4 linked regions of the Saccharomyces cerevisiae S288C genome follow. Changing the gene in region 1 together with any one later gene gives a genetic interaction. Each region holds a gene or a part of one and is shown in the gene's direction. Other genes may lie near its edges. The genes, in order: HSC82, SGT1, CPR7 and SKP1.

What was found.
Region 2: mutations in HSC82 (region 1) and SGT1 are lethal when combined (synthetic lethality), as found in Saccharomyces cerevisiae (3 studies listed by BioGRID, with this or other methods).
Region 3: mutations in HSC82 (region 1) and CPR7 impair growth when combined (synthetic growth defect), as found in Saccharomyces cerevisiae (6 studies listed by BioGRID, with this or other methods).
Region 4: mutations in HSC82 (region 1) and SKP1 impair growth when combined (synthetic growth defect), as found in Saccharomyces cerevisiae (3 studies listed by BioGRID, with this or other methods).

What each region holds. Positions count from the first base shown.
Region 1 is NC_001145.3:630,220-639,349, forward strand, and holds HSC82 (Hsp90 family chaperone HSC82), read left to right. Parts: upstream 1-2,135; coding exon 2,136-4,253; downstream 4,254-9,130. Other genes in the region: RTP1 (Rtp1p), read left to right, coding at 1-1,751; YMR187C (uncharacterized protein), read right to left, coding at 4,470-5,765; mitochondrial 37S ribosomal protein uS17m MRPS17, read right to left, coding at 6,072-6,785; GCV2 (glycine decarboxylase subunit P), read left to right, coding at 7,281-9,130. UniProt on the Saccharomyces cerevisiae protein: Molecular chaperone that promotes the maturation, structural maintenance and proper regulation of specific target proteins involved in cell cycle control and signal transduction such as CNA2. Undergoes a functional cycle that is linked to its ATPase activity.
Region 2 is NC_001147.6:428,682-436,936, forward strand, and holds SGT1 (co-chaperone SGT1), read left to right. Parts: upstream 1-3,504; coding exon 3,505-4,692; downstream 4,693-8,255. Other genes in the region: phosphopantothenoylcysteine decarboxylase complex subunit VHS3, read right to left, coding at 1-1,176; NOB1 (rRNA-binding endoribonuclease), read right to left, coding at 1,566-2,945; ASE1 (Ase1p), read right to left, coding at 5,007-7,664. UniProt on the Saccharomyces cerevisiae protein: Involved in ubiquitination and subsequent proteasomal degradation of target proteins. Required for both entry into S phase and kinetochore function.
Region 3 is NC_001142.9:486,618-494,727, forward strand, and holds CPR7 (peptidylprolyl isomerase CPR7), read left to right. Parts: upstream 1-4,463; coding exon 4,464-5,645; downstream 5,646-8,110. Other genes in the region: Arf family guanine nucleotide exchange factor GEA1, read right to left, coding at 1-4,195; RAV1 (Rav1p), read right to left, coding at 5,761-8,110. UniProt on the Saccharomyces cerevisiae protein: PPIases accelerate the folding of proteins. It catalyzes the cis-trans isomerization of proline imidic peptide bonds in oligopeptides. Plays a major role in negative regulation of the heat shock transcription factor (HSF).
Region 4 is NC_001136.10:1,120,091-1,127,531, reverse strand, and holds SKP1 (SCF ubiquitin ligase subunit SKP1), read left to right. Parts: upstream 1-1,513; coding exon 1,514-2,098; downstream 2,099-7,441. Other genes in the region: PEX3 (Pex3p), read left to right, coding at 1-1,262; YSP2 (Ysp2p), read left to right, coding at 2,607-6,923; condensin subunit YCG1, read right to left, coding at 7,299-7,441.

The sequences.
Region 1 (9,130 bases):
GTACTACGCCTGGACAGTTCTTTTTATATGTATGGATATATGCTCTTTTTTTGAAGAAAAACCAAAAACTAGACCCATTAGAAATAAACAAATTGTCTATTTCAGATAATAAAAGCACAGACAGCATACATTTTCCAGAGCAATCTTCCTCAAAGTATTACGAGGTTGTATTATCATTATTAAAATCTCTAATAGTCATAACAGAAAATTTTCAATATCTAAATGTACTGAGCCTTAACTTACTGAATTTTGAGCACGAGAAATGGAAGTATTTAATTGATCTTGATACTCAGCTACCCTACATATCGGTTAAAAACACAGATATGGCAGAGTTGTTTTTCGAAAAAGGATCCAAAAACTCTCAAATTTCTGAGTTTCTTCAAGATATGGACCTTTCGATAGAATTATTTATGGAATTTTTAGTGCTGCTAAATGATGAGGAACAATCAAAGACTTTATTTTTAGATATTCTGAAAAGATGGGTCCATCATACAAAAAAAAGTGAAAAAAGATCTTCCGATAATCATAGCGGGATGCCAAGCGTTACAGATAACGCGTTAATACTCATGGACTTGAAACTTTTGGAATGTATGAACAACCGATTTAAAACCAAGATTGTTAATAAACCTAAGGACGTTCTTATTGTTATTGATCAATTGATAGATGTTGTTCAGGAAAAAGATGAAACAATACAGGAAGTAGAAGCAGATTCTGACGACGAAGTTGAAGAAGGAGAAGAAACAGAAGAATTGGATCCAAATGAAAATTCTTCCTACAAAATTATCTTGCAGTTATTATCAACCGTCCTTTCAGAATCGTCCAGTAGTATATTATTGCAAAACAGTTATATATTGAAATCCATTTCTAGAAAATTACAATCTTTCAACACTAATGCTTCCGAAATAGATGCATTATTGGCATCAATAGATAATATATTGATTAACGGACATACTACGGAAAGGAACGACAACATAGAAATTGAGATGGATGAGGAAAGGCTTGACAAAGCGATAACTAGTCTACATGATCCTTTAGTGCCCATAAAATCTTATGGTTTAACAGAACTACGTCATCTAGCTGAAAAGAAGTCTCCAGTAATTTCACTGGAAAAGGTGTTGCAAATACATTTAGATTATTTAAAGAATATGGACCCTTTCATTTATCTCAACGTTATTAAAGGACTTACAACGCTATGTGAATTAGAGCCAGAAACCATATTGCCTCTACTTGCAGAATTTTATGCTAACAAAAAAAAGAAAAACAGATTAGATGATGTGCTGAAAGTTGGAGAAGTGTTCATCAATTACATTCAACGTCAGAACGAATTGTTCCAGGGTAAATTGGCTTATCTGATTATAGATACCTGTCTTAGTATTGTGAGGCCAAATGATAGTAAACCATTGGACAATAGATGGCGTATGTCATCCATGTCAATCTTAGGTATGTGCCTTCAAATCAACGCCAGGGGTGTCTCGGATAGAATTCGCGATATGCTGGATTGTGTATTTGGAATATTGCAATTAGAACAACCACAAAATCATTTGAAGGACAAGGATGATTCTTTTTTGATGAGAAGAAGTGCCGTACACTTGATACATGATTTGTTGTACAGTACAGGATTTGATTTACTTCCCTTTGAGTACAACTACGATAAGCTAAAAACACTATTATCTTACGTTCGTGATCAAGATGAAGATTACATGGTTTGTGAACAGATTGACAAGCTTTTAACCGTACTAGATAGTTTATAACCCATTACGCATTTGATTATAATTTGCTTCTTAGGCAAAATTAATATTTACGTTCTTTTATATTCTTTCTTTTTGTATTCATAGAACAGCAGCCATTACCAATAGAAAGTTAAAATAGCCGCCGATGCATTTTATTACCCGCCTTTCTGTTTTCTGGGCACTTTTCTTTCTAGAAGGTGAAAGAACAATTTTTCTCGTTTTCTCGAACTTCCACCAAGCGTTGGGTAATGAGGGAGGAGATTTGTATAAAAAGAGTGGCATGTGAACTGCCTACCGTAAGTGACATGAACACATGCATTATATTTTTTGTGATATATTCTTTCTCTTGTTTTCTTTTTCTTGAAACGCTACAGAACCAATAGAAAAATAGAATCATTCTGAAATATGGCTGGTGAAACTTTTGAATTTCAAGCTGAAATCACTCAGTTGATGAGTTTGATCATCAACACTGTCTATTCTAACAAGGAAATTTTCTTGAGAGAACTGATCTCTAACGCCTCCGATGCTTTAGACAAAATTAGATACCAAGCTTTGTCTGATCCAAAGCAATTGGAAACCGAACCAGATTTGTTCATTAGAATCACCCCAAAACCAGAAGAAAAAGTTTTGGAAATCAGAGATTCTGGTATTGGTATGACCAAGGCTGAATTGATTAACAATTTGGGTACCATTGCTAAGTCTGGTACTAAAGCTTTCATGGAAGCTCTATCTGCTGGTGCCGATGTATCCATGATTGGTCAATTCGGTGTTGGTTTTTACTCTTTATTCTTAGTCGCCGACAGAGTTCAAGTTATTTCCAAGAACAATGAGGACGAACAATATATTTGGGAATCTAATGCCGGTGGTTCTTTCACCGTTACTTTGGACGAAGTTAACGAAAGAATTGGTAGAGGTACCGTCTTGAGATTATTCTTGAAAGATGACCAATTGGAGTACTTGGAAGAAAAGAGAATTAAAGAAGTCATCAAGAGACATTCTGAATTCGTTGCTTACCCTATCCAACTTCTAGTCACCAAGGAAGTCGAAAAGGAAGTTCCAATTCCAGAAGAAGAAAAGAAAGACGAGGAAAAGAAGGATGAAGATGACAAGAAACCAAAATTGGAAGAAGTCGATGAAGAAGAAGAAGAAAAGAAGCCAAAAACCAAAAAAGTTAAAGAAGAGGTTCAAGAATTAGAAGAGTTGAACAAGACTAAGCCATTATGGACTAGAAACCCATCTGATATCACTCAAGAGGAATACAATGCTTTCTATAAGTCTATTTCTAACGACTGGGAAGACCCATTGTACGTTAAGCATTTCTCTGTTGAAGGTCAATTGGAATTTAGAGCTATCTTGTTCATTCCAAAGAGAGCACCATTCGACTTATTTGAGAGTAAGAAGAAGAAGAACAATATCAAGTTGTACGTTCGTCGTGTCTTCATCACTGATGAAGCTGAAGACTTGATTCCAGAGTGGTTATCTTTCGTCAAGGGTGTTGTTGACTCTGAAGATTTACCATTGAATTTGTCCAGAGAAATGTTACAACAAAATAAGATTATGAAGGTTATTAGAAAGAATATTGTCAAGAAATTGATTGAAGCCTTCAACGAAATCGCTGAAGACTCCGAGCAATTTGACAAATTTTACTCTGCCTTCGCTAAGAACATTAAGCTGGGTGTACATGAGGACACTCAAAACAGAGCTGCTTTAGCTAAGTTGCTACGTTACAATTCTACTAAATCTGTCGATGAATTGACTTCCTTGACTGATTACGTTACTAGAATGCCAGAACACCAAAAGAACATCTATTACATCACCGGTGAATCTCTAAAGGCAGTCGAAAAGTCTCCATTCTTGGACGCCTTGAAGGCTAAGAACTTTGAAGTTTTGTTCTTGACCGACCCAATTGATGAATACGCTTTCACTCAATTGAAGGAATTCGAGGGTAAAACTTTGGTTGACATTACTAAAGATTTCGAATTGGAAGAAACAGACGAAGAAAAAGCTGAAAGAGAGAAGGAGATCAAAGAATACGAACCATTGACCAAGGCCTTGAAGGATATCTTGGGTGACCAAGTGGAGAAGGTTGTTGTTTCTTACAAATTGCTAGATGCTCCAGCTGCCATCAGAACTGGTCAATTCGGCTGGTCTGCTAACATGGAAAGAATCATGAAGGCTCAAGCCTTGAGAGACTCTTCCATGTCCTCCTACATGTCTTCCAAGAAGACTTTCGAAATTTCTCCAAAATCTCCAATTATTAAGGAATTGAAAAAGAGAGTTGATGAGGGTGGTGCACAAGATAAGACCGTCAAAGATTTGACTAACTTATTATTCGAGACCGCTTTGTTGACTTCTGGTTTCAGTTTGGAAGAACCAACTTCTTTTGCATCAAGAATAAATAGATTGATTTCTTTAGGTTTGAACATTGATGAGGATGAAGAAACAGAAACCGCTCCAGAAGCTTCTACCGAAGCTCCAGTTGAAGAGGTTCCAGCTGACACCGAGATGGAAGAAGTTGATTAATCTCTTTTTTCGCCTTCATGTTTTATATATTATATAAATTTGTTTACTTATTTTTACTATTTGTAATAATGATTCTGCTTTACGCGCCTTTAAAAAAGTTGGTCTTAATGTAAACATGAACCATAGCACACAATTTAAGACATCAGCTGTCAAATGACCATAAAATTGTCCTACCAGCTGTCCTTAAAGTTTAGTGTACACTTACGAATGACTTATTTACTCACCTTTGCAACTTTGTTCAATAAATTCATTGATCTTTTCAAGTTCCTGACATCTTTTGTAACTGGCATAGAGCTTCAGACTTGACCAGCCTATAGCAGCAGTACCACAACCTATAATATTGAAAATCATTCTAAATTCCGAAGGGGAGCAATTCGGCGTCCATTCAATTTTAAACTTTCTCTGTATCCATAGAAAAGCATTCAATAGAAGACCTCCTGTACATTTACCAACAAAGGGCCATAGTATCTTTTCTGCAAGAATAGCATACCAATTCCGCCTGATAAAAAATTCCTCAGCTGGAACGCTATTACTAGAGTTTTCAAAATTTCCGTGATACAAATACTTACCTCCTTTATTGATCAGCCTCCTGTAAATTAAGTCAACCAATCTTTTAAAGGTAAAATTATAGCAAAATGTAGCCAAGTTAGAATACAAAATTATTTTAGGTAAACCTATACCCTTGTAATATTTGTTTCCAGCAGTTTTTACAATACTGAGATACACCCACTTAAAGAGTATTGCATTAGCACTGACGTTAGAAATGTTGCTAAGATAATGTATGAACCCATATATTATGATCGAGGAGGTTAAAGGAATGCTTAATAAGCCACGTTCAGTTTGCGCATATACGTCCAATGCCTTTGTAGTGCTGATGTTTAACATATTTCGTAGAACATTCTCAGGGAAAAGGCAGCGTAGTTGCCATAATCCAATGTCAAAACTTGTCTTTTCAGGGTTTAAAAGAAATAAACTAGTTATCCCTAATGGTATCACGTATCGTGTAATTTTTTGCCACTGATAAAACAGGGATAGTACAGAAGACTGGATGGTTACTGTAGGTCTTTTTATGAAATTTGTTTTCTTGCATTGAGGACATTCGCCAAATTTCACTAACACATAAGGTGGATGATTATCCCGTTTGGTATAAAGAGACATTAGATTGAACACGTAGTCATTTTGAAACGGTACTGATTTTTGCCCCCAAATGGGACGAGTTTCCCATATTTCTGTAAGAGAGAAAGTCGTCATAAAATCATGGTGCCCATCAACGAGACATTTTAAACAGGTGATTATAGGTAAATCAGCATCCTTTGGTAGGTCCACTGTGTTCGGAAGAAAAAGTTCAACATGCATTTGATAGAGCCATCTTATATAGCAGCGTTTATGAATTTGTAAGTTGCAACCGCACGTGTGCTGTAGCCATGTAGAGTCATATGTGGATTCTTCCAAACATATCCAGCATATGCATCTTTTTTTTATGAGAGATAAAAAAAAATGAGGTGGGGTCATATAAAACTTGGACTATTTCCTTGGAATTTTCTTGTTTGTAAAATCAGAGCAGAGCTCTTTTATTTACTTTTGTTTTTGACGATGGGGACGAGCGATGTACTCACATCTTCGATATCACTTGCCTGAAAATATATAAATGCGTTAAACGATAGAAAATCAAAAACATCGTTCTTTTCACTAGAATATTTTAAAGTCAAAACATAACACTTTACTATTTACGTAACGAAGTCTTGTAGTTGTATATATTTACAGAGTGTAGTGCTTTAGTTGAGAAAATATGACACTCGGCTTTCCTCTTTCTTTTATTTACTGGCTTGGTTGTTGCATATCCATCATGACGTGCTTTCTTAACAAATTTTTTTTGATGTTTTTTTTCAAGGTCAAAGGATCCTCAACACCATGATCCTTCAAAAATTGATCACATTTTAGATCATTCGACAACAATTCGGATAATCGCGTTTGAATACGATCAATGAGACTTCTTTGTTTCTCCAAATTAACCTCCAATCCAGAGATGTCTAACTGTAAAAGTTGCCTCACTGTTTCTTGTGAAAAATCTTGAATGCCGTACCTTTGTTTAATCTCCAATAACTCTTTCGGCGTTGACCCGCTAGATAAAGCATCTTGGATGGTCCTAATATCACGTAAAAGGGTTGTTTTTTCATTTAGTTTATTCTCCCTCACTGATCTTTTATCCAAAAATTCTTTTGCCTTTTGGGCTTCTTCTTTTGCAACGCTTAACTGAGCTTCTGATTCGTATAATGCAAATTGTTGACCCTTGTTTCTAATAATTTCTGCAATGGCAAAAAACTTCCTCTTTGAAAGCGGCCTCGTCGCTTCTATCCTTACTAAATCACCCTCCCTTGATATTTCACCTTCATCATGCACTAAATAATCTCTTCTATGAAATAACTCCTTGTTGATTTTCTTATTAAAGACTTTTGTTTCTACACGTACTTTAACCGTCTTTTGCATCTTCCCTTGGGAGACGACCAAGCCTAAAAAATTTTGGCGAGCCATTACAGTTTAACTGATCTTGATTTGACTTTTGAAATCTCTAACCCGAATTCAACTCCCTGAGTTTACTTCTGTTTGGCCTTATTTGTGGATTTCCTCTAACAGTTTGATGCTCGCATTGGTTTGGCACAATCCCAAATTGCTTCAGAATTCTAATCTTATGAAATAACAATCATGTTACCCGGTTGAATCGTTACCCGACATCTCTGACTCTTCTTGAGGTATAGACTCCTCCTTTTCGGAGTCATGACTCTCAGAGGAGTCATCGAAGTCAGCATTGAGCTGTGAAGGACCTTGATAAGCTAGTCGAAAGATCTCCAACGAATATAAATGGATGTATATATAGCAGGCTCGAGTGGCACAATTTTCTTCTCTTCAAGTTCCAGTGAATTAGTCTTTCTCGTGTGTACCAATCTTACTGTATTGATTGCTGCGCGATCTAACCATCAACTAACCACAGTTTATTGGAAAAACGTTTCCTAATACCAGGAAGATAACATGCTTAGGACAAGAGTGACTGCTCTCCTTTGTAGGGCTACTGTCAGGTCAAGCACCAATTATGTTTCATTAGCGAGGACTAGATCATTCCATTCTCAATCTATTTTGCTCAAAACAGCCGCTACAGACATAACGTCTACACAGTACAGCAGGATTTTCAATCCTGACTTGAAAAACATTGATAGACCGCTAGATACTTTTGCTAGACGTCATTTAGGTCCTTCTCCTAGCGACGTTAAGAAAATGTTAAAAACAATGGGTTATAGCGATTTAAACGCATTTATAGAAGAGCTCGTTCCTCCCAATATTTTGAAGAGAAGACCCTTGAAACTAGAAGCTCCTAGTAAGGGATTCTGTGAACAAGAAATGCTTCAACATCTAGAAAAGATTGCCAATAAGAACCACTATAAAGTTAAAAATTTCATAGGTAAGGGTTACTACGGTACGATTTTACCACCGGTTATACAAAGAAACCTGCTAGAAAGTCCAGAATGGTATACTTCTTATACGCCCTATCAACCCGAAATTTCTCAAGGTAGGCTAGAAGCGCTATTAAACTTTCAAACGGTTGTTTCAGATTTGACTGGTTTGCCTGTGGCGAACGCCTCATTGTTGGATGAGGGTACAGCGGCTGGAGAAGCTATGCTCTTGTCATTCAATATTTCCAGAAAAAAGAAACTAAAATACGTAATAGATAAAAAATTACACCAGCAAACAAAGAGTGTCCTTCACACCAGAGCCAAGCCGTTCAATATTGAAATTATTGAAGTTGACTGTTCGGATATCAAGAAAGCTGTGGATGTTTTAAAGAACCCCGACGTATCTGGTTGTTTGGTTCAATATCCAGCGACAGATGGTTCAATCTTACCGCCTGACTCGATGAAACAGTTATCTGATGCGTTACACTCTCACAAGTCTTTGCTCTCTGTGGCCTCAGATTTAATGGCTTTGACACTTCTAAAACCACCTGCTCATTACGGTGCTGATATCGTCCTGGGTTCCTCTCAACGATTTGGTGTCCCAATGGGTTATGGTGGTCCTCATGCTGCTTTTTTCGCTGTTATTGATAAATTAAACAGAAAAATTCCAGGTAGAATTGTCGGTATCTCTAAAGACCGCTTAGGCAAGACGGCCTTGCGGTTGGCCCTCCAAACAAGAGAACAACATATCAAGCGTGATAAGGCAACTTCAAATATATGTACCGCTCAAGCTTTACTGGCTAATGTTGCTTCGAGCTACTGTGTTTATCACGGTCCTAAGGGCCTACAGAATATTTCCAGGAGGATATTTAGCTTAACATCAATATTGGCAAATGCCATCGAAAATGACAGTTGCCCTCACGAACTAATTAATAAAACATGGTTTGATACTTTGACTATAAAGTTAGGTAATGGCATATCCTCCGAGCAGTTATTGGACAAGGCCTTGAAAGAATTTAATATCAATTTGTTTGCCGTGGACACCACCACTATTTCCTTGGCTCTTGATGAAACAACTACAAAAGCTGATGTTGAAAATCTACTAAAAGTGTTTGACATTGAAAATTCTTCGCAGTTTCTTTCTGAGGACTATTCTAACAGTTTCCCAAGGGAATTTCAGCGTACTGATGAAATATTGAGGAACGAAGTCTTTCACATGCACCATAGCGAAACAGCAATGTTGAGATATTTACATAGGTTGCAATCTCGTGATTTATCTCTTGCTAATTCTATGATTCCTTTAGGTTCCTGTACTATGAAATTGAACAGTACTGTTGAAATGATGCCAATCACTTGGCCCCAATTTTCGAATATCCATCCGTTCCAGCCATCAAACCAAGTCCAAGGATACAAGGAACTAATTACTTCGTT
Region 2 (8,255 bases), on another chromosome or scaffold:
CTGAGAAGCCGCTGAGTTTGAAGACGTCTTCTGAATGCTAAATTTTTCAAGAGAGGCTACTTTTTTCTTGTTACCAGTTATATTGCCAGCATTAGAATTGGTGCTGTTGAAAGAAGTATCGATACTATTGTGTTGTTTCTTATTTTTCCTCATATACTTCATTGCAAAAAATTTGGTTGCTGAGTTAGTTAGTATAACTTGTATGCATATTTTGTCCCTTCCGTAAATTTCTTCTAATTTTCTGATCATGTGCTTGAGTTTGAAAACAGACAAAGAACCTGTTGCCCCAAAAAGAACGTGTAGCTTGCCGTCATCTTGGGGAAGCCTTGGATCCATATTGGTCATAATATTTTCTCTCTTCAAGGGATTTGAGACTGCATTGGGAGACATTGCTTCTTCCAAGACAGACTCCAACAATGTGGGCTCTCCAGTCTTTGATATGGAGCCCTCTCGTTCAATGTTGATGGGGTTAAATGTATTCACTACCACAGAGGGGCGAGGACTAGTACTGTTAGACCTTGATCTAACTGATGGGGTGTGTAAAGGATCTTCCACGTAGAAATGTGGGTGCTCCTTTCTGGGGCTATCGGAACTATTGTCAGAGTTTAAAATAGAATCTGTTCCACCGGTGAAACTTAGCTTTTTAGCCAGCAGGCTGGATATGTTATTCCCCATATCAGCATTGGAGAGAATAGAGGTTGGAGTCGAAAAAGAAGAAGCAGAAGCCTCGCCATCTTTTGGTACTTTTGTATTTATGTCTTTCAAGTTTCTTCCTTGATTTGCACCCTCCGCTGCGATGTGTACAGACGTTGCTTTCTTTTCGCTGGACTGTCTGGCCACCTGGTTAGGTGGAGTTTGCTCCACATCCGACCTGAGACTACCCAACTTTGGATCGCTGAATGTAACAGTTGGTATCCTTTTTAACCCTGGCTCTGGTGTATTACTTACAACTGCCCCAGAAGTTCCGCTAGCATTCATGATTGACTTAGTTTGTGAACCAGTGGGACTAGTTGATTTCCTTACTACAGGAGTGTCCAGACTAGAAACGGAAGAAAATGGTCCCGTAGAATTTGTGTCAGGCATTGCCGATGAACCTATATTGGCCTGCTCAGCTCCAGAGAGAGTATTCGAAGCAACCCCTTTCCTATTGTTCTTCAGGCTAGATTTGTTTGTCATTGCGTCTCTGCACTATAATTATGGCCAGTATTCCTCTTTCTGGTCTCTTCTTTGAACTAAAGTAATCTTATAAAAGGCTATCCTTTTTTTGGCAATCTAGTATTAATCCTGATCAAAAAGTCCTCAAAACGAGCCCTCTTCAAAGTGCTGTAACACCATTCATCTCATAAGGGGAGGGCATACTGAGCAATAAAACGTTTTCTTACCTTTTCGGTCTTTTGGACTCTCCAACCAGAAAGTTAAAGGGCAAAAAAGCTCACATGACACGCTTGTTTTGGAAAACGTCATAGAAAAACCACGTGAAAAAAAAAAAAAAAAAAAAAAAAAAAAGAAAAAGAAAAAGGGCAGCTGCCAACTAGTACACACTACACAGATATTTATGAAAAACACTAACTTCTCCTTTTGGAACTGTTGACGTACCTTCCCTTACCAATGCGGACGTTATGCTGCTTCAACCCAGTAATTGCAAATGGAGAAATATAGTTATCCGCAGAACCGCCACCAATCCAATTGTTTAGAATCTTCTCGTTGTGTCTTCTTGTCCATTCTTCTTGCTTTATCACCTTTTCGTACTCCTTTTGATCTTCTCTGAGAATCACATTTTCCTGTGGTTTAGAATGTACGTGTCCCTTTTTGCCGTACCTTTTTTGGGAGTTCTTAGATAAGGGGCTGGCTACAGAATATCTGTTTCCTCTATTGTTCCATTGGAAGTTCGACTTCAAGTGCGGTGTAACGTTCCCCGTGCGTGAGTCAACGGAAACTGCGCATCTTAATAAGGTACCCTGTCCACCGCATGAGGCACAGAAGTGCTTTGGCTTGCCGTCTTTTGGTAGAGGAAATATTTTGAAACAGGCGTGGCATCTTAGCATATAATTACGGATTCGCTTGATTTTCAGACCTGACATGAAATTCATTAGATTTAGATTCATCTGCAACGCTACATTTTGGACGGCAAAATCGCCAGTCGCCAATGCCACCTGATTCTCTGGTCGATTCAATGCGACATGGCGATCCTCTTCGGACGCTTCTACACCCAATGAACCAGTGGTATCTTCACCACTATCCTTAATAATTGCTTCTGTTAAGTTCTCGGGGGTAATCCAATCACCATCATCATCAGCATCCTCGAATACTTCATTTAAATCGGAAGATTCCTTTATATTTTCATCATTACATATCTGCTCTTTGGATCCAGCCTCCTCAACATGTTCCTCAGCTTTACTCTCTAGCTCAAGGTTTGCATTTTCAGCTTCTCTTGCTTCTCTTGCTTCTCTTTTTGCCTTTTGCTTTTTTCCACCTCTTCTCTTGTTCTTTTTTTTTGGAACACTTTCAGAGTCCTCCTCCTTTTTATTATCTTCTGTGAGCTTCTGTTTGCCGTCCGTACCAACGTCAGCCTTGGACGCATCTAATGCATCACCTGGTTTTTTCCTCAGTCTCCAATCGCCATTATTTAGTTTAATTTCTAACTCGTATGTCAAAGCAAGAATATGCAAATCATTGGCACTCAGTACGGAGTAGTCACCGGTCAATTTGGCGAACGTACTTACTTTGGCTATCGAGTTTTCACTTGGATGTACTAATTTCAAAGTTCCGAGGCTCTGCCAAATTTCAAGGTTTTTCCTTGCTTGAGCATCCTTAATTTCTTGAAAAACTGTGGGAGTAGTATAAAAAGACTGTGCATAATTCTGGTAATGTGTGTAGGACTGCGTAATTAATGGGGTGGCATCCAATATCAACGCCCTTACATGTGCGGTTTGGTTTTCGGTCATATTATGCTCCTTTAAAGAAACTTTAGAAAAATACTGAACTATGATCGCCGATGAGATTTATCTAGCGCTGACTGAACGACCTCTATGTTAAGAACATACTTGAGATAATGGTGCTGTTTCTCCATGTAGACTTCTTCTTAGCAGGTAAAAATTTGCCAATGCAAAACAAAGCTCATCGAAAAATTTTGATCTTGCATTATGGAATGTCCGGGTTTTTCTATTGAGACATTCAAATTTTGAATTCTTCTTCAATAGAACCAGGCTCAGCACAGATACAAGAGAAATGATAGTAGATAATACCGCCATAGTGCTTATGCATCATCTGCTAATTCTTTTAAGAATGATCTTCTCAGTCTTACACTGACGAGCACTATATTGATGACTTTGATCACTATAAACGAAGCCAATATAAGCACTTTAGGGTGTAAGGTCTCAAGATGAGTTGATCATATGCGATATATCTTTGAACGCTAATAATTGAACGAAAGCACTATGACAAAGTAATGGCAGAAGTCTTTTAAGGTTAAAGAGGTAGTTGTTTTAAGGAAACGAAAAAGAAATGCCTGTTGAAAAAGATTTAAAAACTGCCTACAAAGCTTTGTATGATGAGAAGGAACCACTGAAGGCCCTCCATCTTTATGATGAAATTCTCAAAGGCTCACCCACAAATTTAACGGCTCTCATTTTTAAGGCAGCATGTCTTGAAAAGCTATACTTTGGGTTTTCTGATTGGCACAGCGATGCAACTATGGAAAACGCAAAGGAACTTCTTGACAAGGCTCTAATGACAGCTGAGGGTAGGGGCGATAGATCGAAGATTGGTCTTGTTAACTTTCGTTATTTTGTTCATTTCTTCAATATCAAAGATTATGAACTGGCCCAATCTTATTTTAAAAAAGCCAAGAATCTTGGTTACGTTGATGACACTTTGCCTTTATGGGAAGATCGTCTGGAGACAAAATTGAATAAAAAAAATAAAAAGCAGAAGGATTCAACTAATAAGCATACAATTAAACCAGTGGAAAGTATTGAAAACAGAGGAGATAATAATTCTTCTCATAGTCCCATTTCACCTCTCAAAATTGAAACCGCTCCTCAAGAATCCCCTAAATTTAAAATCGATTGGTATCAATCCAGCACCTCTGTCACTATATCATTATTTACTGTTAATCTTCCTGAGTCTAAGGAACAAGTCAATATATATATTTCTCCAAACGATAGAAGAACTTTATCGATATCGTACCAAGTACCGAAATCTGGATCTGAATTTCAATACAACGCTAAGCTTTCGCATGAGGTGGATCCAAAAGCAGTGTCATTAAAAATTTTCCCAAAAAAGCTGGAAATTACCTTGAGCAAAATTGATAGCACGCAATGGAAGAAGTTGGAAGAAGATATTTTAACGGAATCCTCAAGGTTATCAGATGAGGGTAAAAATTCTGATTCTGCAACCCGCTTATTATCAGCAGAAACGGCATCAAAAGAGAGATTGTCTTATCCATCGTCCTCTAAAAAAAAAATAGATTGGTCTAAACTTGACATTGATGAAGAAGCTGATGAAGAAGCGGGATCGGCTGATAGTTTCTTTCAAAAGCTTTACGCTGGAGCGGATCCAGATACCAAAAGGGCTATGATGAAATCCTTTATAGAAAGTAATGGTACTGCATTGAGTACAGACTGGGAAGACGTATCTAAGGGAACGGTTAAAACTTCACCACCAGAAGGCATGGAACCTAAACATTGGTAAATGATTAGTATATACCTACACAATTACAATATGTAGATATATAGTATGGTAGTAATGTTACATTTTCGATTTAGACTAGCCAACCTGCGTATTTACTTGGAATGCTTACATGATTATATTGAATATTACAAATTTTATTATGTCCATATTAATCCAGAGTCACGGTGCAATGGAAAAAGGAAAGGGAGAATGATAGAATAAAAGAAGGAAAGAAAGAGACAATGTAGCGAAGGCTAGAAAGTGATGTGAAAAAAAAAACCACAAAAAAAATAAATAAGAGATCAGAGGGTTAAATGAATGCGCTTTTAAGAAATTCAAATATCTGTAAAGGAGAATCCATTCAATTTCGAAACTTGCTCATTTTTCCATGTAATAAAATCCTTATCATTTTCATCTTCCATCATACTGGTATCATCAAATCCGCTTTCAATATCTTTTTGTTGAATGTTTAATTGAAATTTACCTTCTGGCGACATGGAAAGTTTATATATGCTGTGCTCAGGTTCTTTATAAGGACTGCTCAATTTTTGTGCGTAATCTTCTAATGAGCTTTTGCGTTCCGGGCTTCGTACATTCTCCTTACCCGTGGTGCCAGTCGACCTTTTAAGAAGTTCTAAAGCCTTTTCTTTAGTTAATTGAGGGATATGACTACCCTTAGTGTCGACTTTGTTCAGCGGGATAGGAAACAATTGGCGTGGTTTTACTGCATGTTCGCCATGCGTATGATTTATCCTAGGCGATGATGAAAGATCGGATGATCTGTTTCTGTTTAAGGTAGGTCTCTCTATATTCCCTTTGGAATTCCTAGATATTACTGTGGGTGCTAGTAATCTTGTTGCTCTTCTGTTCGGACTAGATAACTTCGTTGTTCCTTGCATATGACGAGCAAGCGAGTTCTCTTGGGATAGATCATTCTTTGTTAAGCCTTGTATTGTTTTCTTTGAAGGCGTTTTATAAGTAATGTTGGCATCATTTAAATTCAAACCAATCGGTACCCTGATGGAACTTTCTGTGGCCTTGAAAGTGTTTTTTATGACTTTATTCTCTTTGTTCGCACCACATTTTCCCTTTTTAGATCTCTGCATTCTAACTCTACATCTTGGATATTTTGCTTCGATTTCCTGTTGCTGAATGTCAATTGCTTCTGAAAGTGGCTTACCTTTGAACAAAAAAGGTTGATCAAATAGACCATCGGCCTCTTCTAATTTAATTCTTAAATCATTGATGACTCGAGGAAAGTGTCTTGTTATCCTTTTCCTCATTTTTTCTTCAGTTAGTAATATCTTATGAGAATTTCTAGACAAAAGCCGTGAAGAGTCTTTTGAACTTCTTTCCAAAAATTCTTGATCTTCTTGTAAAGATTCAAAATCTGATATTAATTTTAAAATTGGCTTATAAAGGGTCAGTTTTTCTTCTAGTCTTTTTAGCTCATTTTCGCAAGTTTCTAGAAGAAGCTCATCTTCCTGTAAAGTTGTTGCACTGTTCCTTAGTTCTTCAAATACAATGATGAATTTAGACCGACTTTCTTCTGAATACTGTAACGTACGCCACAATTCCTGAATTTTGTCCCAGGAATCTGATATAAGTTTTTTTATTAGTTTTTTTTTCATTGCTTCAAGTCGCATAACTTCTTTAGAGATTCTACCTAAGGACTCGGTTGATAAACTTGAATTGTTACGCATAAAAGTCTTTATGTATTCTTGAGAAATTTTTAGCCTTGTCCAAAGTTTTTGGCATTGTTCCATCAGGAGCCTCTTTTTGTCTGCTCTTTCCTTATGGATAGCTTGCAGTTTTTCCAATGTAATATCAATTTTAGACATTCTTTCTCTGTCTACCGGGTGGAAATTTGGTATTTCTGATGTGGAGTTTTCCTCTTCTCCATATGATCTTAGATCTTGTTCAAAATCTTCACCGATTAACGTTGCTAGGGGAGTTCCAAGTTGTTCACATATTGATGAAATACTAACCTTTTTTGTGAGTACGCTTTTAAACCTCCTCTCGTATTCTTCCTCGTAAATTTTTATGACTTCATTCATGTGTTTCACAGATTCTTCGTTAATAGTTTTAAATGCCGATCCCTTTAAAATATCTTTTCTATTATCTATAATAAATTTCATGGACAAACCAATATCGCCTTTACCATTTTCTATTTGTAACAAATATGCGGTTAATGTGCTTAATTCTGGAAACTCGGCGATAGCCTCGTTATCTGCTTCTGTCAATCCAGGAAGGTTTTCTTTTACAGATTGTATGAGGTGTTTTAGAGTGATTAAGGATTTTAAATAGTCGCGGAGCCTGGGTAAAAAACTTCCTAGGACAAATTTTTTTGCTGTATCTAATGCTGCTTTTTTGCTTAGTAAGGAAAGTGGCTTTTTCGGTGACTGTGGCACAGTTTTACTTTCTTGCAGTAGAATAGCATTTCTAATGTATAAGTCAGGAATAGTCTTTATGCCACTTGGGTCATTTATTCTCTCTAGAATGTTATTTAGAATATCCTGTTCAATTCCGTTCTCTGCGGACAGTCTTTTCAATTCTTCGTCAGCTTGCTCAAAAAATTGTTTTATGGAATTAGATATAGTGGTGAATATGATTTTCTCCTTGGTGATAATTTCCGTATTAGAATACCCAATATTTTGATATATGACATTGAGATTCTCCAGTAATTTCTCTAGATCCTTTGAAATAAGAATGAAATTTTCTCTATACATATTATCCATTGTGTTACCTTTACCATTTTCTGAGTCTAAAAAATGGTAATTAGTGGACACGTTTTTCAAAGGAGAACCAAAATCTCTAATACGAACTGGGGTCAACTTCATAAACTCTTTAGAATTTGATTGATTTACCATGGTCGACACAGTCAACGGTGTTGCTAAAGAAGGGTTCATATGCGGTATAACTGTAGTAGACCCAGAATTTTCGCTGTTTCTCCTCGATTTAATGGGCAAAGGGGAAGAAGTTGCTGTCTCCATTTCAACATCAAAAGTAGTGAATCCAAAATGAAACCTTTGAATTCTAATGCCAGAATGCTATATCTGATGATTAAAAATAGCCTATTAAAATGCTCTAATTAGTCCTTAAAATAATTATTCTCGGTAATAGCCGTTTGTTCGTATCTTTGCTATTGTTCTGTGAAAAAACCAGGTATTCGACTTTAATAATATTTTTGTATTTGTTTCCTCTTAAAGATTCTCAAGCTTATTTACCTTTTACCTCATTGGGAAATATTAGATGACGAAAGAAAATCACACTGTACGATTTTCTGGGCGGTTATTTAGTGAAATTAAATAATAACGTAGATATGGCAGACAGACTTATTGTTTATAGGCAGTTCTTTACAATTGTAACTATAAAAAGTGGCTATACTAGGAAAGAAAGTTTTTAAAGATGATTTGTTTTTTCTATCTTAAATCTCATATATTTATTTTTATTCACTTCTGAGAAATACAAGTTGCATGTCTCAAAACTTTTACTTTTCAACAAAATATTAATCAAAAAAAATAAATGAAAAAAGAAGACCATATTGAAGAACATTTAAAATCCTTTGTTTGAAATAGAGATCA
Region 3 (8,110 bases), on another chromosome or scaffold:
TCAACTCTTGCAACTGCCTTTCCACCGTAGGATCATCTACATACTTGTTAAATACGTTAAGCACTCTCAAAAAAGTTTCGTTACTTGTTACGCCTTCCACAAGTTGACCCAAGAAGATTTTAGAAAGAACGGATAAAATGCTAGTAATTCGTTTCATCTTGACATCTTGGATTTCATCCAACTCAAAAATCGGTAATAATCCTGTCTCTAGTAGGTTATCCACCGCAACTTTTTCCGTACGTAGTTGACTTGCTCGAGATAACAGAATGTTCTCTAATGCTTGCAATGCTTGCATACCTAGTTCGTCACAGGGATTGAGGCATTGATGGGCGAGACCTTGAATAGCAGCTATAATCTCATTCTTGTTGAGTGCTGAATTACTCCTCCCAACAGTCGAAAGTAGGTCTGCAGTTATATTAATGGAACGACTAGAAAGATCAATAATAGAACGGTATGGATTGGATTCAGGTGCTTCACACCCATCCTCGACTGAATTTTCATAATTTTGTTCCCATTTTGTGCCAACGGCACCTGCACATGACATTTCATCAAGCAGACTTAATATGTTCATAAAGTTCCCATCATCTACAAAGATATCACCATTTTGAATGTATTTTTCCAAAAATGTGTAGACGGCAAATTGGCGGTCTTTGGCTGATATTAATATCCTTAAAAAATTCCAAAATTTTACATTTTTGAGAGCCCGCTCATTGTATTTTACGTCATTGAGATGTGTAAACAGATCATTTATTACTTGCTTCCCCCATTCACTTTCATAATATTTAGTATTGAAGATTTCATTTTTTACCAAAAAGTCGTGTTCTATTAAATCACTTAAAATGTCCCGTGGATTATCAAATCTCGAAACCAAAAACATTTTATACGAGGCAAGTCTTGCAATAGCCTCCTTGGAAAGGCCATCTAAATTCGAAATATTAATCATATGATCAGCAATTAGTGCTCCAAATTCTTGTCCATAAGAAGCCTCTGATATTAATATAATGGATATTTCCAACAAAAAGAGAAGTTCTTGTTCGAAATAGGGCGAATTTTCACTCGTTTTTTCAATCACAAGTGAAGAGAGAAGAGTTTCAATCATCTTAGGACTGACGAGTTGATTGTTCTCAAAGACTGAACTGAGAGGATGGCTAGCCTTAACGCACTCAAATGCTTTAATGGAAAAATCGATGTCTTCTTCCGAAGGTTCTTCATCGCCTTTCAAGTAAGAGGCGAAAGTAGACAGAAGGCTTCTGCTCATCTTTGCCTTGCGGATCGATATATCTGGATCTGGCAATGGTAGTTCAGGAAGTTTCAAGAGTGAATGAAAGTTTGTAAAAAATGGTAAATTAGGTTCCATCAATAAATTCTCGAATAATTTCAAAATGAGTTGCACAATCTGGTTCCATAGTCTGGTAGAAACAATGCTAGGATCACTTATTTCTTTAATGATTTGAAAGTACAATACGGTACATAACTGAGCCTTAAAGTTTTGTCCAAGTCTTATACTCTGGTTACTAACGGATATCTTCGACCCAGTGTCTTCGACGAATATCTCGACCAAAGGAATACTGTCAACATCTAGCTCCACCGCTTTTGCGCTACTTTGTGCCAATGTTGTCATTTCTCCCAGATGAAGTACAGTATCATTATATGACTGGTCAAAAGAAAAGTAATAGTTGATAAATGTACACTTACTAATGGCGTCCAAGATACGTAATGATATTTGATCACTGGAAGCAACTGTGAATATTTTGAATAAAGTCTTCAGGATAATATCTCTAACATTTGAGAAAATTGCTTTCTCATACTGAAGTATGTCTATTTGCGCTAACTTAGAAATAGGGTTTGTGAAATCTCTTTGCATCTCTGTCATCACAGATGTTGAGGATATTAAGTTATTCCAGGCATCTTCAAACCACCTTTCATTTCCATGATGTTCTTCAGGCATTACTATTTCCTTAACTTTGATGGACGTGTAAATTTTATGCAAATACCAACGAGGAAAATCTTTTCCATTGTAGCATCCTCGTAAATTGTTAGAGTAGTCATCAAAAGTCATATGGTCTTTAACCTGCGGGTTATGTGAATCGGTATTTAACATGATTATCGAATAACTTAACACAAACACAGAGTCTGCATCAGGCTGTACATGAATGATGTCATCTTCTGTCATTGACTCTGAGCCATTTTTTCCTGCTTTTTTATCCTCTAACTCCACTTTATCATTGCTTTGATCAGCAGAATATTTTGATGAAAATGCTTCAACGATTCTTTCAATCTGTTGAGATTCCCCTGGTAATCTGAATTTCGTCAGCAAAATTCTGATCGCTTCATCAACCCTTAACCCTTTAAAATCGAATAGATCTATAAATTCTTTTAACAATGAAGTTTTTTTCGGATCACAAAGTAATAGACCGATGGTTTTCTTATTTAAACGTCCGTTATTGAGAAACAAAAATGAAGCAATGTCTCTATTAGAATCCGAATCAATGAATCCTTTTTCAATTAACATTTGAATGCCTTTCTTTGCCTTTTCATTAAATGTTTCAACGCATAATATGAATTCAGTCTTTCTGTCTCTCTGTTTCAAAATATCAATTTCTTTCTGATTTTTTACGAATTCTGCCCTATCAAATCTCTGCAGATCATTGTATATATTTTCAATAAGCGAAAGTACACCTTCTAGGCAAATTGGAGGAATGTTGTTAGAGGTATTAACGGCCGCCGCTGGTAAAGAAAATTTAGTTAGCTCTTTTATAAAGTCAATCGAAAGATCCGACCTATCCAAATTACAATCGAAATTTACAAAAAGTTGCAAAAAGAAAGCGGGAGAGTGAATCCACAGTATTGAAAGTTGTTCAATAATTAATTCCCTGATTGCAGGTGGTTTTTGCTTACTAACGTCACCACTGATTGTGGTATCCTCTAGAATTTCGAATATTCTCCTTAAAGTCAGTTCAATCTGCATAGGCAAATAATCACCCAATATCACAACCAAACTCGTGAATAATTGTAAAGTTGCTTGCAAAAGAGAATACTGGGTAGAACTTTGTATAATGAATAAAACACTTTTAAATATTGGATCAGAAATTAAGCTGAATAACCGGGGATATAGAGGAAATTTGTCACCGGATATTTCAATGGCTGCATTGATTAACTGTAGAGATAATTTCATGGCCGAAGTTGTGTGCTTCATTCTATTCTCTGGCATAACCAGTGATAACAATAATCCAAGATAATCCTTTATAACTGTTATTCCGTAATTTGGCTCGACATTTTCGGCTTTCTCAGCCGTTTCCTCATCATTTTCCTGTTCCCTTATGACCTGTTGGACTGGCTTCTCATTTTTATTATCGTCTGCAACAGCACTGTCATCATCAGTGCTACTCAAATCGTTATCAGAGGTAGTCGTACCTATAATGTCATCCTTCAAATTATTGTCGGTGTAACTTTCATCATTGATATATTTTTCTGTTTTTGTAGGTGGATCTAGTAACTTCAACTTTGTAAATAGTTTAACGGTTATCCCTGCAATTGTAACTTCAGCCGTTTTCCTCAAAACCTCGCTTCTCTGCGTATTACATGCCAAGGAAAGTGTCGTTTGTAAAACATCGTAGATTATAGTATCGGAGAGATAGTCTCCAAAGGAAGAGGTTATAATATCGCGTAGTAATGTTACAACTTTTAATAAAACAGAGTCGTCCGAAATTTGCTTTGAAGCTTCAAATCTACAATGTGTAAGCGCAACAACGGTTTCCCTAACGGCAATTTGAATATCATTAAATGTTTTGTTTATGATTTTTAGTGTAAAAACTTTCTGCAACGAGTCCAGAGCCAGAGAAGTAGTATAACCCGATACTGAACTAGCGCTGACTATTTCTAAAAATGGTTTCAAAAGTTCCAAGGCGTTTAATGAATCTAAACCCTTCAAGTCGTTAATTTTTAGCCGCAGCTGTACTAAACCAGATATCAGAGGATCATGATAGCTAGAAGTAGGCAAATTGTGGAAGCTGTCAACAAACGAATCACTTTGACTCAAGAATATATCACTACCTCCGCCCAGCAACGCGGCCACACTTGTTTGTGATTTATCTCTGGACTGCTTGTTCATGGCAGAACAAAGATTGATGCACTCTTTGACAATCATCGTAGCTGGGTTCACGGCCAAAACAGTTTCCATTGGCACGTCGTGCATTTTGTATATGAAGCCGTATTAGTTAAACCTGGGCGCTTCTTACCAAAGTTGCGAATTAACTTAACTAAGATGGTTCAATTCTCTGTGTAAAGTATCCATATTAAAAGGTCTTAGTTCCAACATGTAAACAAAGAGATCTATATATTGTTTTTTTTCCAATGCGCTGAGTGATGAAGTGATTAGAAAATCATAAAAATGAGAAACTGCAAAGAAAAAAAAAGTCGTTATTCTGAAAGGTGTTCGGCAGCAACAACCTACATCCAACGCGATGATTCAAGATCCCCTTGTATATTTAGACATCTCCATTGATAAAAAACCAATTGGTCGTATTGTCTGCAAACTTTTTCGTGAGAAGGCTCCTAAAACAACAGAGAATTTTTATAAGTTATGCGCTGGTGATGTTAAGAGTCCTTTGAAGGATCAACAGTACCTGAGCTATAAGGGAAATGGTTTTCATAGAGTCGTTAAGAATTTTATGATCCAGGCAGGTGACATTGTCTTTGGGACACAAAAGGATTCCTCTTCATCGTCTGTTGGAAAAGGTGGATGTTCAATTTACGCTGATAAAGAGGAAGTGAAAACCGATGATGAATCTTTCTGTTACGGGAATTTTGAAGACGAAAACTTGGGAGAGTTTGTAGAACCCTTTACCTTAGGTATGGCCAATTTAGGTTCTCCAAATACGAACAATTCCCAGTTTTTCATAACTACATACGCCGCACCTCATTTGAACGGCAAGCATTCTATTTTTGGGCAGGTGGTTCATGGAAAATCAGTGGTTCGCACTATAGAAAACTGCAGGGTAGATTCTGATGGAGTCCCTGAATCAGACGTTAGAATCAGCGACTGTGGAGTGTGGGAAAAAACTATGGGTGTCCCGCTTTACAACGCTTCTAATGACCAAATTGGCGGTGACGTATACGAAGAATATCCAGACGATGATACACATTTCGGTGACGATGATTTTGGTAAGGCTCTTGAGGCTGCTAATATAATCAAAGAATCTGGGACGCTCTTATTTAAGAAAAAGGATTACTCTAATGCCTTTTTCAAATACAGAAAATCTTTAAATTATATCAATGAATACATGCCTGAACCCGACGTAGACAAAGAAAGAAACATCCAATTTATTAACCTAAAGATGAAAATTTACCTAAATTTATCTTTGGTGCTCTTTAATCTGGAAAGATACGATGATGCTATCATGTATGCTACGTATTTATTGGAGATGGATAACGTTCCTAACAGAGATCAAGCAAAGGCTTATTATAGAAGAGGTAACAGTTACTTAAAAAAAAAGAGACTAGACGAAGCTTTACAAGATTATATTTTTTGTAAAGAGAAAAATCCCGATGACGAAGTTATAGAACAAAGAATAGAATATGTCAATAGGCTCATAGAAGAGAATAAGGAAAAGACAAGAAAGAATATATCAAAGTTTTTCTCCTAATTAGTTACTTGTAAGGCTGAAATTTGAGATTAAATAACCCAATATGAAAACACTACATTAATAAGATGTAATTATTTTTATTTATAAATCCATTTATTTGATAAAAAATATGATATCATACAAAGTCATCTAGTAAGTTCTTGGTAATAGCAGATTTTTTTGGCTTCTGTGGCTTTTGTGATGAAAGATCATCTAATATGTCCTTAGAGAGTTTATCTTTCCTATTTTCTGAGTTGTCTGTTTCACCCACAGAGTCGTTTGGCGCTTTTGGAGTTAAATTCTCTTTATGCTGAGAATATGAAGGAGAGACGAACTCATCCAGTATACTTCTAGGTGCAGAAGAAGAACTTTGAGCGAGGGAATTTGAAGAAGTGCTATTTGGTGGTGGTTGCAAGAAGTCGTCTAATAAGCTATTTGGTAACTTTGGATTAGGTGACTCTATATCTGAAGCACTTGGCGAGCCAAACTTATCAAAAAGACTGGGCCTCATCCTAGCAGTAGAAATTGGTTCAGACGCCATGGCGCCAATAGCAGAATATGCTCTATCCTTGGTGGGGCTCTTTAATAGCTTCTGAACTGGTATGGAATTTCTTTCGATGAACTTCCAATTCTTCACAAGTGAAACCGCCAGGTAATTGCAACCCATTCGGCAAAGAATATCAGTAACTCTTAAGATCAGAGTACACTCGATTTTTGCTTCAACATTTAGAGATCCAATGAAATACTTCAAGTTTCTGTTTCTCAGGTGATTGTATAGATAGAGCAAAGCAGGGTCTTCAACAAGGAATGATCTGTTAACACAGACTTCCTTATCAACAATGCTTGAGTTGTTTTCTAAATCAATCGGAGCAGTCAGCAAAGCTTTAATAGCCACTTCCTGCTTTCTCAATTTCCAGTAAATGAAACTTGCTTTCCATCTATCATTCTCCTTTATTGTTTCAGGTAGCATTTGCGCTGTCAATAGCTCTCCCAACACGGGTCCATTATCACCTTCATAAACACGACATACACCGATTGCCAAATCCATATCATGCACTTGCTTGCAAAGAACGTTGACACAATCTTTTAGAGAGTCAGTTAAGAGAAAGAAAACTGCTGCATCCATATATCTATGCTTACTTAGCAGAACAAAAGCATTTTTGAGTGCTGCCGTTCTCCACCTCGGTACAGTGAAATCATTACTGATAAATCTAACCATCTTTTGCTGCTCAGGATGACCAATAGCCATCTTCCACAAGCTCAATAGTATCTGTTTTTTCTTCAACGCAAGATAAAAAATAGCACAACGGCTTGGATCCCTCTTATCATCTTTGGAAAATTCATATTTTGCAATATCCTCGAATTTCTTCACCAAGTCCTGCTCCTTAATCCAATAGGCTATTCTATATTCTCGAGCGCGATTCCATGAGGTTATGTGGCGGTCAATAGAAGATAATAATATTTCTTTATTGTCTGAGTGCAATGCCCAAGACACATCCCTCATCAATATGCTTTTTTGAATATTTTTATGTGATAAAAATAACTTCACGCCCAACAAGAACCTAACACCGTTGTAATCTACTATATTCTCATTTTTGGTGACTTCATCCACTGCTTCAATGACTGTGATAAGCGTGATCTGCTGGTGGCGGGTTAGATAAGGCAAAGTTGTTTTCGTTAGTTGCTCAGTAAGTGCTAGAGACACTGTCTTATTGAAACAGGGGTATGGATCAGGGAAAGATTCGACCGGATAGTCTCTATCTTTAGCAATAAAGTACTTTAATGGATCCATTCCTAGATTGGAATCCAAATTAGATACATCTTGCGATTCAAAGTCTAATTTTCTTAACGCTAAAAACAATCTTAATAACAGCTCCTTGACAAGTTGTAACTTATTCGCATAAATGGCTTGAATCAAAAATTGTGGATGATAAACTGGAAGTGGACCATTTAAAACACTACTTAAATGGAGAATATCATTTGATAAAATTTTTCTTGAACCAATTGATTGGTACGTAAATGGATCAGTCAAATCCAGAGATTTATCCTTGATGTAAAATTGATTTCCGGAAGCAACAACAAACGTGCCATTTTTCATCCATACGGAGTCACCTATATTATGAGCTGTATGTGCTGTGATATCAATTTTTTCAATAGGTAGGTAACTAGGTGTGTTGTTCGTGTAATCATACCTTAATTGAGTATAAAGTAAAGCGTATCCTGTAAATCCGATAGAGACAATGCTTTGGCCATATTCCGTGCTTGTCCAATCTATATCCTCGATAGGATTATGAAATGTTTCTTCGTATTCAAGAACTCCCCTGTTCAGGTCCCATAGTGACATTACTTTACCAGTAGAATTAACAATACATAACTTACCTGTAGATGATCCTCTAATACATGTACAATTCATTATTCCGGTGTTAATTTCACATGCCTTGATCCATTGGACATGCCTATCATTATAATTAACGATGGCTTTATAC
Region 4 (7,441 bases), on another chromosome or scaffold:
TGACTGGAATAGCTGCTTTATTTACCACAGGGTCGGTGGTAGTGTTTTTCGTGAAGAGATGGTTGTATAAACAGCAGTTACGGATTACTGAGCAACACTTCATCAAAGAACAGATCAAAAGAAGGTTCGAGCAGACACAGGAAGACTCGTTGTACACAATATACGAGCTACTTCCTGTATGGAGAATGGTTTTGAATGAAAACGATTTGAATTTGGACAGCATCGTTACCCAATTAAAGGACCAAAAGAACCAGTTGACTAGAGCAAAGTCTAGTGAAAGCAGAGAAAGTTCGCCGTTAAAAAGTAAAGCTGAGTTGTGGAACGAGTTAGAACTAAAGAGTTTGATCAAGCTGGTGACAGTGACGTACACAGTATCGTCGCTGATTCTTTTAACAAGACTGCAACTAAATATCCTGACAAGAAACGAGTACCTGGACTCCGCAATAAAATTAACCATGCAGCAGGAAAACTGCAACAAACTACAGAATAGGTTCTATAACTGGGTTACATCGTGGTGGAGCGATCCGGAGGACAAAGCGGATGATGCAATGGTAATGGCAGCAAAAAAGTCAAAGAAAGAAGGCCAGGAAGTGTATATTAATGAGCAAGCTTTCCTATCACTATCATGGTGGATTCTTAACAAGGGGTGGTTGAGTTACAATGAAATAATTACAAATCAAATCGAAATTGAATTTGACGGCATACACCCAAGAGATACTCTAACGTTAGAAGAATTTAGTTCTCGTCTCACGAACATATTCCGGAACACGAATTCCCAAATATTCCAGCAAAATAATAATAACCTCACGTCTATTTTGCTTCCTAAAGATTCCAGTGGACAGGAGTTTCTTCTGTCACAGACGCTTGACGCGGATGCTTTAACAAGTTTTCACTCTAACACACTAGTTTTTAATCAATTGGTGAATGAACTGACCCAATGTATCGAAAGCACAGCAACATCCATAGTGTTAGAGTCTCTAATAAATGAATCATTCCATTTCATAATGAACAAGGTCGGCATAAAGACAATAGCCAAGAAAAAACCTGGCCAAGAAGATCAGCAACAGTATCAAATGGCAGTTTTCGCTATGTCGATGAAAGACTGTTGCCAAGAAATGCTTCAAACAACTGCCGGGTCTTCCCATAGCGGCAGCGTGAACGAATACCTGGCCACTCTGGATTCTGTGCAGCCGCTCGATGATCTGAGCGCCAGCGTATACAGCAACTTTGGCGTCTCCAGCTCGTTTTCCTTCAAGCCTTAATCTCTGAATAAGTACTGACACTCACACCAGAATATATATATATATAGCGTAATCTTTAATACAGTAAGTGTGCAATAGGTAACATGACATTACCCTGCAGCGATTTAACGGGCGTCTTGGAGAAAAGAAGAGAAAGGGAAGAAATAGGTTGATATATTGAGGGCAGAGAAAGTGATAGCCCAACGTTGGCAAAGATATAACAGAAAAGACGTTATAAACAATACAGGAATACTAACAAACGTAGCGCAGATATGGTGACTTCTAATGTTGTCCTAGTGAGTGGTGAGGGTGAACGATTCACCGTAGACAAGAAAATCGCGGAGAGATCCCTGCTATTGAAAAACTATCTGAACGATATGCATGACAGCAACCTACAAAACAACTCAGATTCAGAATCAGATTCAGACTCGGAAACGAACCACAAAAGCAAAGACAACAATAACGGTGACGACGACGATGAGGATGACGACGAGATTGTGATGCCCGTGCCCAATGTTCGGTCTTCCGTTTTGCAGAAGGTTATCGAATGGGCCGAGCACCACAGAGACTCTAACTTCCCTGACGAAGATGACGACGATTCCAGAAAGAGTGCTCCCGTGGACTCATGGGACAGAGAATTCCTGAAAGTGGACCAAGAGATGCTATACGAAATTATTCTGGCGGCAAACTACCTCAACATCAAGCCCTTGCTTGACGCTGGCTGCAAGGTGGTTGCTGAAATGATCAGGGGAAGGTCTCCCGAGGAAATTAGAAGAACGTTTAATATCGTCAACGACTTCACTCCAGAGGAGGAGGCTGCCATTAGGCGTGAAAATGAATGGGCTGAAGACCGTTAGCCTACATTTCCTCTGATGACTGTGATCCTTTCTTCCGATGATAATGCGCCATTTCAGAGCAAGATAGGCAAAAATAAGCAAACAAGGCTTGCTGTCATGCAATGTGTACGTTAGTCCACCATAACCAAGCATGTATGAATTATATATGTATACAGTTTACATAAACTTCAAACTACAATAAGATGTGTGGTCCATCGTCGTGTGTAGCGATAGGCGTCTTCTAAAAGCCGCAAAAGTGACAAGAAGAAAAAAGGAAAATTATTGAGTTATAAAAGCTATTGTTTACATGATGAGACGGGATAAATTTAGGACAGATAGCTGTAAACACTCCGTTTTGAATCATATTTGTGAAATATTTGGTCTAAATTTTAAGTCAAGTTTATTTTCTTCGAGCATTTCAACACCAGCTTAACCCTTTGCTTTAAATTATTCATCTAAAATAGGGTATATTGATTGCTAATCACATATAAATATATAGAAGCAGCAGCTGTACAGATATCCCTAACCAATGAGGGATGAAGCTACTCGCAAAAAAAGGTCATTTAGTGATGGTCATTTTTTCAAGAAACTGAAATTGATGTCAAGGAAAAAGCAACCTGTTATGGAAAGAAGTAAGACCACTCGTACAAGGAAGGAATCTACCAATTCCGCAGCAAAATCATCCCTATCATTAAGAAGGGCCAACAATGGCAGAAAGACCATCGCTAAGAGAAGAGTACTGACCGACATAGGCTCTACTAATGAAGGTGTTGCCGGTAACTCTGGTTCAAACTCTCCTGCTCAATATTCTCATACTCCTCATTTTAGTGATTCTATCCCACCACTGCCTTTAGAGCTACCAGATATCGTCTCAATAAGGAGTAGTAGAAGTCATATTAGTAATAAGAGTAATAAGAACAAACATGGTATAGACTTGACTTTCATACCTCGAAGATCGCTACAAAATTCTAAGGCTGGCTTGAAGAAACCGAATACTTCTCCACAAGGTTATTTTAATATTCCAGTGACTATAGATAGAGCAAGTGAGAAAGTCAAACATACTGATACTAAAAATACATTCAATTCTTCGTCTTCTGAGAATGAACGACCAGTTTTGAGCATCTTACAGAAGGATGACTCTCAAAGTTCTTCGCACCCAGCTATCGATTCAATGTCAGCACCCAATAATATTAACAACAATAACGACATTGAGAATTCTTCAAACAGTCTATTTGATACTATTCTATCAATTGCTCATAGTGCCATATCTCATGTCCCTAAAATTTCAGCCTTAAATACTGAGATACAACGTGAATTTTCGCATTCAGGTGAAAGTCATACAGGTTCAACTCGCCATCCTTATTTCCATATCCACCACGCGCAGCAGCAACATCCCTTGTCACAGCAACAAGGGCCCTTACCTGTTTCCGAAAATGCTAACCAAAATCCCAATGACACAGTGCTCATTCATTCCCCCTCCGCTAACACAGCCCACCGCAGTTCATCATTTTTGCGTCATTTAGATTATTTACTATCCCCCACTTCTGGTCCAGCCTCTGATAAACATACTCAAGTAGAGGAAGGGGATGACGAGGAAGAGTTATCGCCTCTTTCCAAAGCATTTCTTTCACCATCAACTCAACTGGTACCTACAAATACATCGACTACGCCCCTTTCAGGTTCTTTGACACCTAACAATAGAAACGTAAATGCAAACTCTAACTCTGAAACCGAGAACGACAATGATAGGGATGATAGATCAAATGTTGGCAAAGTGAAATTTCAGCCCTTGAAAGTACACGAGCCTGCAATCTCAACCTTTGGTAAAGGCAACTTAACTTTAGAGGCAGTGGCAGGATCCTCTGATATTGATAATACAACTATTGATCTGGACGAGAATAATACCAATAATAATCCAAATGCAAGTTCAACAAACTTGAGTCATATTAGCAAAAGTAACGTAAACAATAATCTCGGTCCAAAAGAATTAAACACAAGTTATCGTAATAGTACCTATATCGACATGGCAAGGTTTGAAAATTCACAATCGAACCTTTCTAGCCATAGGGCAAGAAGTAAGACACTGCCCGCGAACAAAGCATTAGAGAATGCCGTTGGTGATGAAGGTAATAGTAAAAGAAATTCAAGATATTCTTCTTATTCAAACGATATGGCCTTTGATGATGCCGACGAAAGAAAATTCAGAAGTATGTCCAAAAAATTCTTAAACAGGAGATCTTTTTCACCTTCGAACTTAGGCAATAAAGTGATCCCTGGAATTAATTTAAGAAATTCATTCAACAAAAATAGGAATAGTAGTTCTGATTTCTTTAGTACAAATCAGGGACAGCAAATGCCAAGAACAAGTACTGCGGGCTCAGGTAATATCCATGCAATAATGGGTTTGGATTCTGGCAATGATGATTTCAAGTTAGAAGGTATTGAATATGCTTCAGAAAAGAAAAACAGCGAATTTCATACCCTTTTCAAGGACTGCGATATTAATCCTAACGAAAAGTTAATTGTCGATCATAGTTGTGCACTATCTCGTGATATTCTTTTACAAGGAAGGATGTATATATCTGATGCACACATTGGATTTTTCTCAAACATTTTGGGATGGGTCAGTACAGTTTTCATTCCGTTTAAGGAAATCGTTCAGATTGAGAAAAAGACTACCGCCGGAATTTTCCCCAATGGTATTGTAATTGATACGTTGCATACAAAGTACATCTTCGCCTCTTTTATGTCAAGGGATGCTACCTTTGATTTAATTACAGATGTATGGAATCAGATCATCTTAGGTAAAAAATATAGGAATGGCTTCGGTAATAATGACGACGGTACGATAAGCGATTCGAGCAGTGCATTTTTTGATGATTCCGATGACAATGACGACGATGGAGACCTGGATGACGATGACCCTGATATTAATAGCACAGATATGACATCTAGTGACGATATTGATGCTGATGTTTTCAATGAATCAAATGATCTTGGTAAAAACCAAAAATCTACGAACTACTTATTGGGTCCCAATAAACACTCTCCAACCACTGCTGATTTCAAACCTTCCAATAATGATCATTTGGTTATTGAAGCAAATATTAATGCACCATTAGGAAAAGTAGTAAATCTTTTATACGGTGAAGACGTCTCTTACTATGAAAGGATCCTTAAAGCTCAGAAAAATTTTGAAATATCGCCAATCCCTAACAATTTCCTCACAAAGAAAATTCGTGACTATGCATATACGAAACCGTTATCAGGCAGCATTGGTCCAAGTAAAACAAAATGTTTGATCACAGATACTTTAGAGCATTATGATTTGGAAGACTATGTTAAAGTGCTCAGTATTACCAAGAACCCGGATGTTCCTTCAGGGAATATCTTTTCAGTGAAAACTGTTTTCCTTTTCTCTTGGGATAAAAACAACTCCACCAAATTAACAGTTTACAATTCTGTTGATTGGACTGGTAAAAGTTGGATCAAAAGTATGATTGAAAAGGGAACATTTGATGGTGTTGCGGACACCACAAAGATAATGATATCTGAAATTAAGAAAATCTTAAGTGATGAAGACTCAAACATAAACTCAAAGCATCAAGCCAGCAATAATGAATCAGAAGAAGAAATTATTAATCTGCCAACTATTGGACCTCCAGTTCATGATCCGACGGAACCTGATTTTCAAAAAGGAAAAGACGATACAGTTATCGATGAAAAAATTAATATACCAGTTCCTTTAGGAACAGTGTTTTCACTATTGTATGGTGATGACACATCATATATTAAGAAAATCATCGAAAACCAGAATAACTTTAATGTTTGTGATATTCCAAAGTTTGTGAATAACGCAAGAGAGATCACCTATACCAAAAAATTGAACAATTCATTCGGTCCGAAGCAAACTAAATGTATAGTCACAGAGACCATCGAGCATATGGATTTGAACAGTTTTTTTATGGTAAAACAAATAGTCAGATCTCCGGATGTTCCTTACGGTAGTTCATTTTCAGTACATACGAGATTTTTCTATTCCTGGGGTGATCACAACACAACGAACATGAAAGTTGTCACCAATGTTGTCTGGACAGGTAAATCAATGCTGAAAGGAACCATTGAGAAAGGTTCAATTGATGGACAAAGAAGTTCAACAAAGCAACTCGTAGATGATCTCAAAAAAATAATTTCTAATGCTAGTTCAACGAAGAAAAAATCGAGGAGAAGAGGAAAGACGGTAAATAAAAGGAAATCATCACCATCCACTATCAAGAATGAGAAGAATGAAGAAAACTTCGAAGATACAAGTACCAAAAATTCATTTTTTTCCGCTTTCTCAATGTTACAACAAGTAAACATAACATCCGTTCAAGGAATTATGACAATTATCTCTTTTTTTATTTGCTTGATTTTCTTCTTTAGATTATTATTCCATTCTAAGAATACTTCGAACATCCAGATTATTACTCCAGGAACAATCTTAATTAATGGAAATGAATATAATTACGTTCCTAATTTTAAAACACTCTATCATGTTTACGAAGATAATATTATAAAAGATGCCCGCCGTAAAGACTCGAATAAAAATAACATAGTCACCGATACGGAGGGTCTCATATGGGACTGGTTGATAGATCGTGGAAATGGAACCGTTCAAAATAGTGTCTTGTCCAATCATATTAAGGAGAGTAATAACAAGAAGGTTAAGCTCGTAAATGGAGTTAGTGATCATAAAATACAGCAGCTAGTTGAATCTATAAAAATCACCGAATTGCAGCTGCAAGAAATGAAAGAATTATTGGCCCAAACGGATAACACGTCGGCTACTAACCAATTACTTTGATAAAATAACATTTTTCGTTCTAATATAGTCAAGTAGGAAAATTCTACTCGACTTTATTTTGTTCTTTTGATCTTATTTCTTTTACTTTAATTATATATAGGATATTTTCTTAGGATAATTGTAATAAAATGCATTAATAGTTTTATATGTCCATTTCTGGTGCATTACTGGACATAATTTCAGTTCCTTTCACCAAAGAATTTATAGCCTTGGAATATTTCCATAATTTGTCCCACCGGGTAATGTGCGTAATGCAATAACATATAGCATCTATATCTGGTAAGCGTAGAAGAATTAACAAACCTAAGAATAAAATACAAATATGTTTACAACCAAAAAATCAACTTAAATAGATGAAGAGCTCGCATATCAATTTTAACAGACCTCGCTGAAAGACTCTGAATCCTTATCTTCTTCATCTATGGACATTGCATCTGATTTCTCGTCAGGTAAAACAAAACTTACATTTTTTGCTACAGTTGACGTGTCTTGAATACTCATGTTTTCCAGGTTTTTGG